3 linked regions of the Elephas maximus indicus genome follow. The protein of the gene in region 2 interacts with the protein of the main gene of each other region in a pairwise test. Links are inferred from orthologs where the notes say so. Each region holds a gene or a part of one and is shown on either strand. Other genes may lie near its edges.

Region 1 (3,747 bases), on a different chromosome or scaffold from region 2:
CCTCTGCAGAGACAGAACAGGCAGGAGGTCTCAGACCGGTGGGGAGAGGAGAGGCGTGGGAGAGTCTGTGGATGGGGGAGTTCCCACAGAAAGGGCCAGTTCAGTAGGGGTAACAGGGAGGTACCTTTACCTTGGTGGCAATGGCAAAGACACACTGGCGGCAGACCCAGGGAGATGGACCCTCTCCCTCTCCAGGGGCTGGCGCCCTCGGAACGTGGCAGTCCTGGTGATAAGCTGAATAATGATAATGTTGACAATAGACCACTTATTATAGTGCAGACCTGTGTTAGGCACCTGGATAGGATTAGTCTTATCCATTTCAATCTTTGTCTGTGGTCCTGCTGGAGGGGAGGGGTAGTTATTATCCTTATTTTACAGGTGAGGGAACTGAGGCTCCTAGAGGTTAAGGGACTTGTCCAAGGTCATATGACTGTAGAAGAGAGTGTACTTAAACCACCTTCTACCTGCAAAGTCCACACCATCCCCCATTCCATGGCTGCCTCTCCCTGGGTTGGAACAGGGGAAGGTTACAGGGTTGAGGAGACTGGTCAGAGTAGTGACCCGGGGACTGAAGTGACCTGGGGACTCAGACTGGACAGGTAGCATAAGGATGGGTATAGGAGAAAGGGCGAAAGGCAGCCTGGAAGGCTCATGGCAAGCTGGACCAGCCTTCTCACCATGGCGACACTTCTCACAGCTGACCAGCCTGTTCCCAGGGACCACAGTCTCAGAGCGACAAACACAGCAGAGGAGTTCCTCCCCAGGGAGGGCAGCTGTGAGGGAACACAGTGTCAGGGGGCCAGCCTAAGCCTCCTCCTGCCCACCCACCCAAACCAGGTTTCTGTTTCCATGGGATGCACACTCTCAGGCCTCTAAGGTCTCACCAGGGCTAATGTCTTTCCATAAAACCAGAAACTGGGAATCATCCTCAAATTGGACCAGACACACTTCCCGAGCACTGTCCACCTGGAAAGGTGAGCACAGAGGATAAAATGGGAGCCAGAAAATATAAGGGGAATGGAAAGAAGGTGACAGCTCAGAGATCAAAACTCTTACCTTCTTGATGGTCCCCAAGTATAGCAGCCCATCAGTCCATCTGGCCAACACATCTTGACCCTCCCAGAGTCGAGGTCTGGTGCCTGAGGTGGGAGCAGGGGAAGCTGGGTCCCAAAGCGAGGAGGCACCAGAGCGGCTCAGCCGGGGGGGCTGCGCCATTGCATCCTGGGGGGGGGGCTAGCCAGGAATAGGACAGGAGAAGGTTATGAATGCTGAGAATCCTTACCCATTTTTGCCTATTTTTCTGTCCTGAGTTCAAGCAGCTTCGCCCTCAAGTTTAAATCCCTGAGACACCTGGGGCACCAGCTTCCTGACTCCAGCCCTCTCAACTCTGGTGCCTTGCTCTCCTCTCCCTAACACCTCTCCTCACTCCACAACCTCATTCACTAGTTGCCCAGTTTTTAGAGCTCCCCTGGGATATTATACCCTGGCCTTAAAATTTTAGGGGAAACGATGGTCGCAGACGCAAAGATTATTCAGTTACTGTCACCTTCCCCATGCTGTTTAGAGGTGTCATAATTGGGGTGCTCTGTTGTCCAGAAATGTTTTTGGGGAGCTTTCCTCGAGATGTTTTTCAGAGCTTCTCAGAAACGGTTGCCTCCCCAGGCCCTCGTGTCTCATTCAGAACAATCACTCTGGTGCCGGGTTATGTCAGGTCACTCTCAAATTCGGGGCTCCCTGCCCCCGGGTTAGATAACTTCCCTGAGTGCCCCCAGAGGGGGCGTGTCCCATCCCGGTCTCTACTCCCCACGACCGGCGAGTCCGAGAGAGGACTTGAGTCGGCCTGGCCAACCCGATACCCAGGCGGTGTGGGCTCTCCCGCCCGCGCCCTGCGCGCCGACCCCCGGCTCCCTGCCCCCCACCGGCGCCTCTCGCCGCCTCTTTACCGGTGACAGCTGGGGCCGCCGGGAGCCGGGCAGGAGCAGCCGTGGGAGATCAAGGCGAGCCCCTCGCGCGGGGAGGGCACGTCCGGGCGTCGGAGGGCGTGCAGGCAAAGGCCGGGGGGTCCCCAGGCCCAGCCCCTCCGTCCCGGCAGCTCTGGGGCGTATGACGCAGCAGCCAAAGCAGCGGCAGCGGCAGGAGGAGGCGGCGGGGGGAAGGAGGGGAGGGACGGACCGACTAGGGGGAGGGTGGTGGGAGGGGAGGGCCGGGGGGAAGGAGGAGCCGGGGGGGCGGGCACCACCTCACCCCACCTCCCTCACCTCTAGCAAGCCTGGAGGGCGCTGAACGCATGGCGACCCCTTCGCAGCTGGGTCGGGCGGACAGTCGGACCCGGAGGGAGAGGGAATCCCCACAGCCCCTTCCTCTGACGGGAGACCCGCCCTCGGGGCAGGAGGGAATCCCCCCTCCCGGCAGTCTGCCTCGGGTCTGGCGCCAGGCCCCATGCCACATCCATTAACTGTCCCCCCCCCGGACATGGTCACTCAAAGTCCCGCCCCTCTGACCCTAGTCATGGCCCCGCCCACCACTCACCCTTCCCCTTGCCCTCGCCACGCCCTCCCCCTTGAGTGCCCCGCCCTCCTCTCGCCGTAGCCCTCGGCCCCGCCCTCTCCAAGGCAAGTTGTCCCCCCCCCGCCGCGCTTCTGCGCACGCGTGGCCCCTCCCGCGTGCGGCACCTGGGAAGACTGAGCCCCTCCTTTACGGGGCGGTGGCCGTTGGCTGTTGGCGCGAGGGATTCGGCGGGCGCGCGCTCCCGCTTCCCCTGTATGTCCCGCCCCGGGCTTTGAGGGCTAGTGCAAGGACGAGGAGAGATAATACCAGTGACGTCACGGAGAGTCAGCCAATGAACGGGCACAGGGCAGAACCCTGGCGATTCGAACAGGAAGGCAGGGAAAGGGCGGGAAGAGCCAGCAGTTTGCCCAGTGCACGCCTAGTCCCCGCCCCTCGATTCCTGTTCCCACATCCACCAAAGGAGTTTTTCTCCCAGGGGTTGGGGTAGCTGATGGTGTGGGTGAAACGGTGGGGGTGACCATGACGGGGCTGTGGGGTAGCTAGTAGGCGCACCTCCTTGATATTTATGATGGGGGAGGGGACGTTAGGTGAGAGAGAGATGGGCCAGACCAGGGTACAGAACCACAAAGAACTGAAGGTCCCCTTCAGACTCCAGCGGGAGACCTGTCCGAGAGAAAAACTGCAGCCCTCACCCCACAAGACACACACACTTGGCAGAGTGGACAGATCCACAGTTCCCATCCTTAGATGTATGAAAAATAGCTCCCTCCTTGGGTATCTGCTAATAAAACCTTTATTTTTTTTTTAAAAAAATTCTTTATTTGATAGGCCCAGGTACAACAGCCTTCCTCACCCCTCCCCTCCCATAAAGCATCCCTCAGCAACCCTCTCCCTCAAAACACACATGGGCACAAAACTTGGGCACACATGGACAGACACACACACCCACAGGATCTGGGTCCATTTTCATTTCCTGTTGGCCTGGGCAGTACCAATAACACACTGGTTCACCTGTGGGCAGATGGACAGGATAAAACAATTTGTGGAGTAACAAAAAGAACAATTTTCTTGAGACCTCCTTACATCCCCTAATGCTATGGCTGCCTTCAGTGAATACTGAAATAGGGGTTCTGGATGTAAGCTTAGGCTTGTTCTAGTTCTAGTAAGTTCTCTGATGCCCACTAGGCACACCAACTGGTGGAGAGAACATAAGTCTCCTCGAGAATTCATGGCCACCAG
Region 2 (3,747 bases):
CAGCCGCTCTTTGGAAACCCTATGGGGTAGTTCCACTCTGTCCTATAGGGTCACTATGAGTTGGCATTGACTCGACAGCAATGGGTATAGATTCCCTCTGCCATATCATTAGGAAGGTGGGGGCAGAATGCATGACATCTTGTCACTATCTCCTGGCCCTTCCTATAATTTTAAAGTACTGGAGGTCAATTTCATCAGGGTTCAGAGATTCCAATAAATCAAGAGATTTGATCTTGATCAAATCTACTGAACTGAATTCTGGAAGTGTTCTATTCCCTTCTTCATGGGAAAATATTAACACTCTCAAGATCTTTTTATGCTCTAAAACTAAACCAAATCCACTGCCATGGAGTCAATTCTGATTCATAGCAACACTATGCTCTAGGTACTCCTATTTCTGTAGGGTCCAACCCATGTTATATCAAACACAGAAAAATCCATCCAGTCCTCCATTAAACATAAACAGCCCCCTCTCCCTAAATTGAAGGCATGCTTAAATATTTGCTTTTGTAATTATTTGACTCAACAATGCGTATAGTTTACTATTGGCTCTACTTTCTTAGGTATCATCCCTATATATTCAGGAATTCTTGCAAAAAAATATATAATGCAAACATAATAAAATCTGTAAATACTAATCTTGGCTGAATGAAACTGTTGTCACATTTTTTAGCCATTTAATTAACACTACCTCATTTCAGTTTTGCAGTTTTCTTTTCCTACTTTCCTCCGTAGTACTATAACTGTGGCACCTACTGGGTGAAATAGTCCTGAATTTCAGCTGTGCGGTGCGTTCCTCTGTGAAGGCTTTCTCTATGCTCCCATAGAGATCACACTGACTTTATGGTACTTTATTGCAGTCTAGGTTATTATTGTTGTCCATTTTTACGATTACTGTGTGCTGTAAAGATAATTATTCATCTCAGCAGTGCCACAAGTGTTCTCTAAAACTTTAGACTTGTCATGGACTGAATTATGTCCCCCCAAAAATGTGTGTTTTCAGTTGGGCTGGGCCATGATTCCCAGTATTGTGTGATTTTCCTGTATGCTGTAAATCCTGCCTCTATATTAATGAGGGAGGATGGGCGGCAGTTGTGTTAGCCAAGCAGGACTCAACCTACCAGTTTGGGTTATGTCTTGAGGCAATCTCTTGAGATATAAAAGAGAGAAGCAAGCAGAGAGACAGGGGGACCTCATACCACCAAAAAAGCAGCACCAGGAGCTGAGTACGTCCTTTGGAACCGGGGTCCCTGCACCTGAGAAGCATCTAGACCAGGGGTAGACTGAGGACAAGGACCTTCCTCCAGAGCCGACAGAGGGAGAAAGACCCACCCTGGAGCTGACACTCTGAATATGGACTTTTAGCCTACTTTACTGTGAGGAAATGTATTTCTCTTTGTTAAGACCATCCACTTGTGGTATTTCTGTTATAACAGCACTAGATGACTCAGACAGGAGTGAAGGCTGGTTCCCAGATGTTGAGCCAAAAAAATCCTCCCTCAGATACTAAACTTTTGTTAAAGGTGATGGGACATTTGGAAATGCATAATGGTAATAGTTGAACATAATAAACGTAACTAGTGTAATTGAGTTGTACATACATGTTGAAACAGTACATGCATGTTGAAATTGTAAAGCATGCTGAAATAGCAAGCGACTTATTACATACATATGTACAATTTTTAAAAAATCTTCCCTAAAACTCCAGTCAAAAATTAATCCTCAATTGTTGTGATTCTGGCCTCCCGTTCCCAGTAGTTTCTGAAGGACCAAAAACAGTAACTTCTATTTTGTTTTTTGTGGAGCCCCAGTAGCGCAGTGGTTAACAGCCATGGCTGCTAACCAAAGGGTCGGCAGTTCTAATCCACCAGCCACTCCTTGGAAACTCTATGGGGCAGTTCCCCTGTCGCTATGAGCCGGCCTCGAACTCGCCAACCCGAAGCCACAAGCGCTTCTTGCCTTCTCCGCGGATTTTAAGAGCGCGAGAAACGGTCGCTATGGCGACGCGCGGTGAGACCGCCCAGCCCGGAACCGAAAAGCGCCGGCCTCGGAGCGGCGCTTCCCCAACACTTCCCTGTCCGGACACGCCCACCGCTCCCCGCCCGCCTCATTACCCCTCGCGCGGGCACGCGCCGGGCTCCGCCCCCGAACCTAAACGGCCGCGCGCCCCTAGCCCGACCTGGGGTATGTCCCGTGAGGAGCGCAGCGTACTTACTTGTGGAAAGAAACGGGCTTATCCTTATCGTATCTGTTCTTGCAACCGTAGGCGGAACAGGACTGCACCATCCTTCCGGTACTCAGTCACTTCACTTCTGCCGCCACCGCAGGCAGGTGAAGCTATCAATATCCCCGCGGTCGATTTTGACACTCTCGCTTCTTCTGTAGCTTTGGTTAACAGATAAAGTGATGATAGCCTCACTCGGGTGTGACTAATGTGCCCGTTTTGTTGTTTGCATTAGCAGAAAGACCACAGCCATCGCCCGTCTCCCATCTCCAAGATGGCGGAGGCAGCTTCAACTTCACTTATCGCGAGGAGTTCGTCCCACTGCCTCTGATTAGCCCCCGAGGTCAGAGGTAACGTTTCCTGCGGAGCAGGCCATTGGCTGAGGCTTGGCGTCTCGCGCAGCGAGCTCTGCGTTGCGGAAGTGGGCGGGGCCTCCGAGATCCCTGCCGGGAGGAAGGGAGCCGTTGGGGGCGGGGAAGGGGCTGGGCGAAGGTGAGCCGTGGGCCGAGCTCCTGTCGGTCGTGGAGTTTCCGTAGACTTACTTATCCGGAGCTTTCCTGGGGCGGCTTGGAGTGTGGGACCAGTACAGCTTGTTGGGTCTGGTGGCCTAAAGGAGGCTGGGGAGCAAAGTCTTAATTGAGCCCATTTTCTTAAAAGGTACGCCACAGACGATTTTACGATTTTGTGGACCCCTTTTCTGACCCCTAATCTGTATCCTATTACCTGTCTGTACAGGCATCTCAAGGATCTGTGAGAGTCCATGTGACAGATTCTTAGCGATGAAAGAAGCCACACGCACAGCCCCCACGTACCAGCCGGATCCTCTTTCTGGACTTCTCTGGAAGCGGCTCCGTTTCCCGCGGCTGGCTTTTGCTGCAGGGTTCCCAGGCGCTGCCTTGGAAATCGCCACTGGCAGCAGCGATTTCCACGTGGAGAGTGGTTTTACCCAGGGCTTTGAACCCGTTGGTTCCGGTTCAGACCCCTGCTGTGAAGTTGCATTTACACCCCCACCCACCCATTTCACCCCAGGTATTCTGAATCAATCTACATTTTAATGAGATCCTTAGGTGATTCTTACATAATAAAGTTTGAGAACTACTGCTCAACTGGTGGTTCTCACAATTGGTTGCTAACCAGCACCATTAGCATCAACTGGAAGCTTATTAGACATGCAGATTCTCAGCCCTGATTTTACTGTTCCCGTACCCGCCCCTCTCCTCTATGTAGGTTAAAGCCTGGATAGGGGGCAACTGATTAATTTAATGGCTCGTACATTCTTTTTCTGCTCTTCTTAAATGTTGGGGTTTCAATCCTCTGCCCTCCTTGCACTCTGAACACTCTGATTCTTGAATCAAATGCCATAACTTCCTCAATCTTTTACTTCTTATGTAAATTCGTTCTGCCTAGGTATTCTCATTACCTGTAAATTATCCATGCAGTTCAGGCCAGAAACCTTGGAGTCAGCTTGGATGTCTTTCTCACCCTTCACATCCCTTTCATTACCAGGTTAATTTTTTTTTTTA
Region 3 (3,747 bases), on a different chromosome or scaffold from region 2:
GGCCTCAGTTCCCTTACCTTTTAACAAGGAGAGAATAATAATACGTGACTTGCCAAGTTCTCCAAGTTGTCTGAGGTGAGGTCACATAAAAAAAAAGTGTTCTCAATAGCAAAAAATGCTATAAAAATACATGCCAGGACAGAGCACAGGAGTCAACTGGAAACTCCCAGTGGCCAAAGCTGGAATAACTTCAGCAACAAAATAAATGACATAGTATTAGATGATAAACCAAAGTATCAAATAAATATTCATGAGTCCGTATTGATACAAATAAATGACTGAATAAATTAATAAATGGGAGAGGAAAGGTAGCTTTCTCCTGCAGCATCTAAGTGATTTATGTAGATACTCTGCTCTCAGGAGGGGCAGCATAATTCCCCACTGTTTAGGTGTGGTGTGAGCTTCACATAATAACTTCCTTCTTACAGTATGGAAGGGGGGGGGTGGGGAAACACTTCTTCTGCCAGGTGTTCAAGGTTAACATCAGCATGAGAAGTGATGTTGATAATGTTCACCTTTGATATGATGTGGTGAGAAGGGTACTCTTACCAGTAACCCATAACCCCAGTCTTACCATGAGAAAAACATCAGGCAAATTCTAATAGTGGGGCATCCTACAATATACCTGACCAACAGGAAAACTAAACCAAACCTGTCACCATTGAGTCAAGTTTGACTCTTGGCGATCCCCTATGTATCAGTGTAGAACTGCCCCACAGGGTTTTCTTGGCTTTAATCTTTATGGAAACAGATCGCCAGGCCTTCCTTCTGTGGCCCTGCCAGGTGGATTTGAACCACCAACCTTTTGGTTAGTAACCAAACCCGCTGCCCTTGAGCCGATTCTGGCTCAAGCACAAACCATTTGTGCCACCCTCAAAACTGTCAAGATCATCAAAAACAAATAGAATCTGAAAAACTGCCACAGCTAAGAGGGGTGTAAGGAGACGTGACAACTAAATTTAATGTGGATCATGAATGGGATCATGAAACTGACAAAGGATATTTGATAAAAAGTAAGGAAGTGTGAATAAACTACAAACCCGCTGCCGTCCAGTCGATTCCTACTTATAGAGACCCTATAGGACAGAGTAGAACAGCTCCATAACATTTCCAAGGAGTGCCTGGTGGATCTGAACTGCCGACCTTTGGGTTAGCAGCCTTAGCTCTTAACCACTACACCACCAGGGTTTCCAAGTAAACTACACACATCAGTTAATAATGCTGCATCAATATTGGTTCATTAATTGCAACAAATGTACCACACTAATGTAAGATGTTAAAAACAGGAGAAACTGGGTATGGGAAAATTGTGGGATAATATCTGGGAACTCTGTACTATCTTCTCAATTTTCCTGATACTCTAAAAAGTAAAGTCTATTTTTCAAAAACGATCCCCTTAGACTAGGAAGGAAAAAAAAAATGGAACTAGGGATTATGATCTTAATTAACAGCCATGAGGCTTAGGCACGGTGCCTGACACTGATATTTGCTGCATGGGCGACACTCTCCCCTCTTTTGATGCACACACTAATTGCTGCGGTGTCAAAATCTGGAGTGTAGTGGGAACTTGGGGAAGTGCTTACCTCCCATGTGCCCTACATAGGAAAATTTACACACTCGGAATCGACTCGATGGCGGGTGGGTTTGGTTTTTTTTTTTTTTTTTTGGTCTTAAAGCCAAACACAGAGAAAATCAGCGGGAGTGCTCACGGGCTGGAGAAGGAATGAATGCACAGCTCCAGGCAGATCTGGCCAAACCGGTTTATTCTGACTGAAAAAAAAAAAAAAAAAAAAATGCAAAGACACCACGACTTCAGAGTTAGAGGAGCCCGGTTGGCCGTCTATCTCTCAGGCTCCAAGCAACCAGACCGTCATCCCGGCCCCGCTTACTTCTGGCTCCAGAGACAGCACGGATCGGAGCCTGAGTTGGACATGGAAAGACAAGGGAGACCCAAGAGGAAGTGGCGAACTGAGGGTAATAGAGGGAAAAGCAGTAGGAGGGATTAGGCTTGGAGGGTGCGCGCGGCGGACTCCACCCACCTCCGAGCTTGCCCGGCAGCCCGGCCCGGTCCTGCCCCCGAGGCCCGGCGTCCGCGTCCGGTCGCCCCAAACTCCGGGGCGCGTGTCTGAGACTGTTGTGTTGTTGCATTTCTCATCGGAAGCCCCCTACTTACCGGTCCGGGGCTTCGGGCCACGAACGCGGGTCTAAGATCGCTTCTCTCCAGCGGCAGTGTGTTCCGGGACCGGGTGCTCTGCCAGCAGCCAGGGCAACAGCGCCTCCCCGCCCCGCAATCTCCGGCCTCTCCAGGGCACCCGGGCGAGATTTCTCCCGGGCCTGCCCCAGGATTGGTCCCTGCCGAGCCGCGCCAACCAATCGGAACCTGAATTTCCTCTACGTCACGATCACCGGTCGTATACCCGGGATTGTGAGGGGTGTGGGGCAGCGGTGGCCAAAAAATGAAACTGAAATTCGCCGAGACGTGGCTGAGCAAAAACCGCCGCCAGAGTTCGGCGTGTGTTTCGGGCTCCCTTGTTACAGGCGAAAGGGACCCGAGTTCTGAGGCCTAGTGGGCCCGATGAATCCCCGGTGGAGGACTCTAGGGTGCAAGAATCTCCCCCTTCTCCTGAGACCCTCGCCTTCCGATTCCGGCCTGGGGCTGAATGAGTGCGAAGTGGCGCTCGCCGGGTGCTGAACATGAGATCCGACTCTTGGCCCCCAACGCCGCATAAACTGGCCTCCCGGACCAGGCAGGAGCACAGCAAGCGAATTTCCTCAGGGGGCTGTTTATAAAAATTAACTACCATTTATGGAGCGCCTACGCTGAGTAACGCGCTTTTTTTTTTTTTTTTTATATCCTTAAATAAAGCAGGCATTGTCATCCCCACTCGACAGAAGCGAAAACTGAGGTTCCGAGAGCTTGGGAGTAGACCTGTTTCCGCGCTGAATTCTGAAACTACAGAGCCGGACTCGGGTTCCCAGAGTCCTCCATGGGGAAATTTTCACCAGGTTCGGCGCGTCCCAGCCGCCCTCGGCCCCGGAAACAGACCACGCGCAATCGTCCCTGCTGCCCAGTCTGCGCCTGCTTCCTGCTTTGTCTGCTGCCGCGGCACACAGTTCCGTTGCTGGGCCACCAGGTGCTGCTGGTTCCCAGGCACCACGGCATAAAAATCCGTCAGTCTCCACTGCGCGCAGCTACGAGCTGGGTGGGAAGGTTCTCGGGGTCAGCCAGTGCCCTGCCCTAAAGGTTGGACTGGAGAGGGGTGGGGCACAGGTCGCGATTTTGGTTCCTAATCCGTCCCTTGGCGCTCCCCCCCGCCCCGCCCCGCAGCCTGGGCTTGGGTGAGAAGAGGGTTGCAGCTATGTATGGGGAAGGTGTTCATGATGGGGTGAGCTCAGGGCCGTAAATCCTATTACTTGCCTGGCTTGTCCCTCCCCTGTGGGGCTGGCGAAATTTGTAGGAATTACTCTGGGTTTAAGGAGTTAAGTCCCTGGGTGGTGCAACCAGTTAAGGCGCTTGGCTGCTAACTGAAAGGTTGTAGGTTCAAGTCCACCCAAAGGTGCCTTGGAAGAAAGACCTGATCTATTTACAAAAAATAAGCAGTTGAAACCCCTGTATAGCCCAGTACTACTCTGACACACGTGCAGTCACTATCTTAGGCCGGGCTCTCTAGAGAATCAAAACTGGTGAAGGTATCTGTATTGTCTACCTATAAAACCAAAACACCAAACCCTTTGCAGTTGAGTAGA

Evidence for each region.
Region 1: the proteins of THAP1 (region 2) and PHF1 interact in binary tests that used the Homo sapiens proteins (3 or more experiments, as listed by UniProt). The two-hybrid records come from large-scale screens. The link is inferred for Elephas maximus indicus from reciprocal best matches to the Homo sapiens genes THAP1 and PHF1.
Region 3: the proteins of THAP1 (region 2) and tripartite motif-containing protein 26 interact in binary tests that used the Homo sapiens proteins (3 or more experiments, as listed by UniProt). The two-hybrid records come from large-scale screens. The link is inferred for Elephas maximus indicus from reciprocal best matches to the Homo sapiens genes THAP1 and TRIM26.

Annotation. Positions count from the first base shown.
Region 1 is NC_064819.1:96,234,860-96,238,606, reverse strand, and holds the start of PHF1 (PHD finger protein 1), read right to left. Parts: upstream 2,465-3,747; 5' UTR 1,944-2,464; intron 1,234-1,943; 5' UTR 1,216-1,233; coding exon 1,057-1,215; intron 967-1,056; coding exon 885-966; intron 774-884; coding exon 678-773; intron 235-677; coding exon 131-234; intron 4-130; coding exon 1-3. Other genes in the region: kinesin-like protein KIFC1, read right to left, coding at 3,475-3,519. UniProt on the Homo sapiens protein: Polycomb group (PcG) that specifically binds histone H3 trimethylated at 'Lys-36' (H3K36me3) and recruits the PRC2 complex. Involved in DNA damage response and is recruited at double-strand breaks (DSBs).
Region 2 is NC_064840.1:57,592,873-57,596,619, reverse strand, and holds the start of THAP1 (THAP domain-containing protein 1), read right to left. Parts: upstream 2,534-3,747; 5' UTR 2,287-2,533; coding exon 2,216-2,286; intron 1-2,215. UniProt on the Homo sapiens protein: DNA-binding transcription regulator that regulates endothelial cell proliferation and G1/S cell-cycle progression.
Region 3 is NC_064819.1:89,895,729-89,899,475, forward strand, and holds the start of tripartite motif-containing protein 26, read right to left. Parts: upstream 2,796-3,747; 5' UTR 2,174-2,795; intron 1-2,173.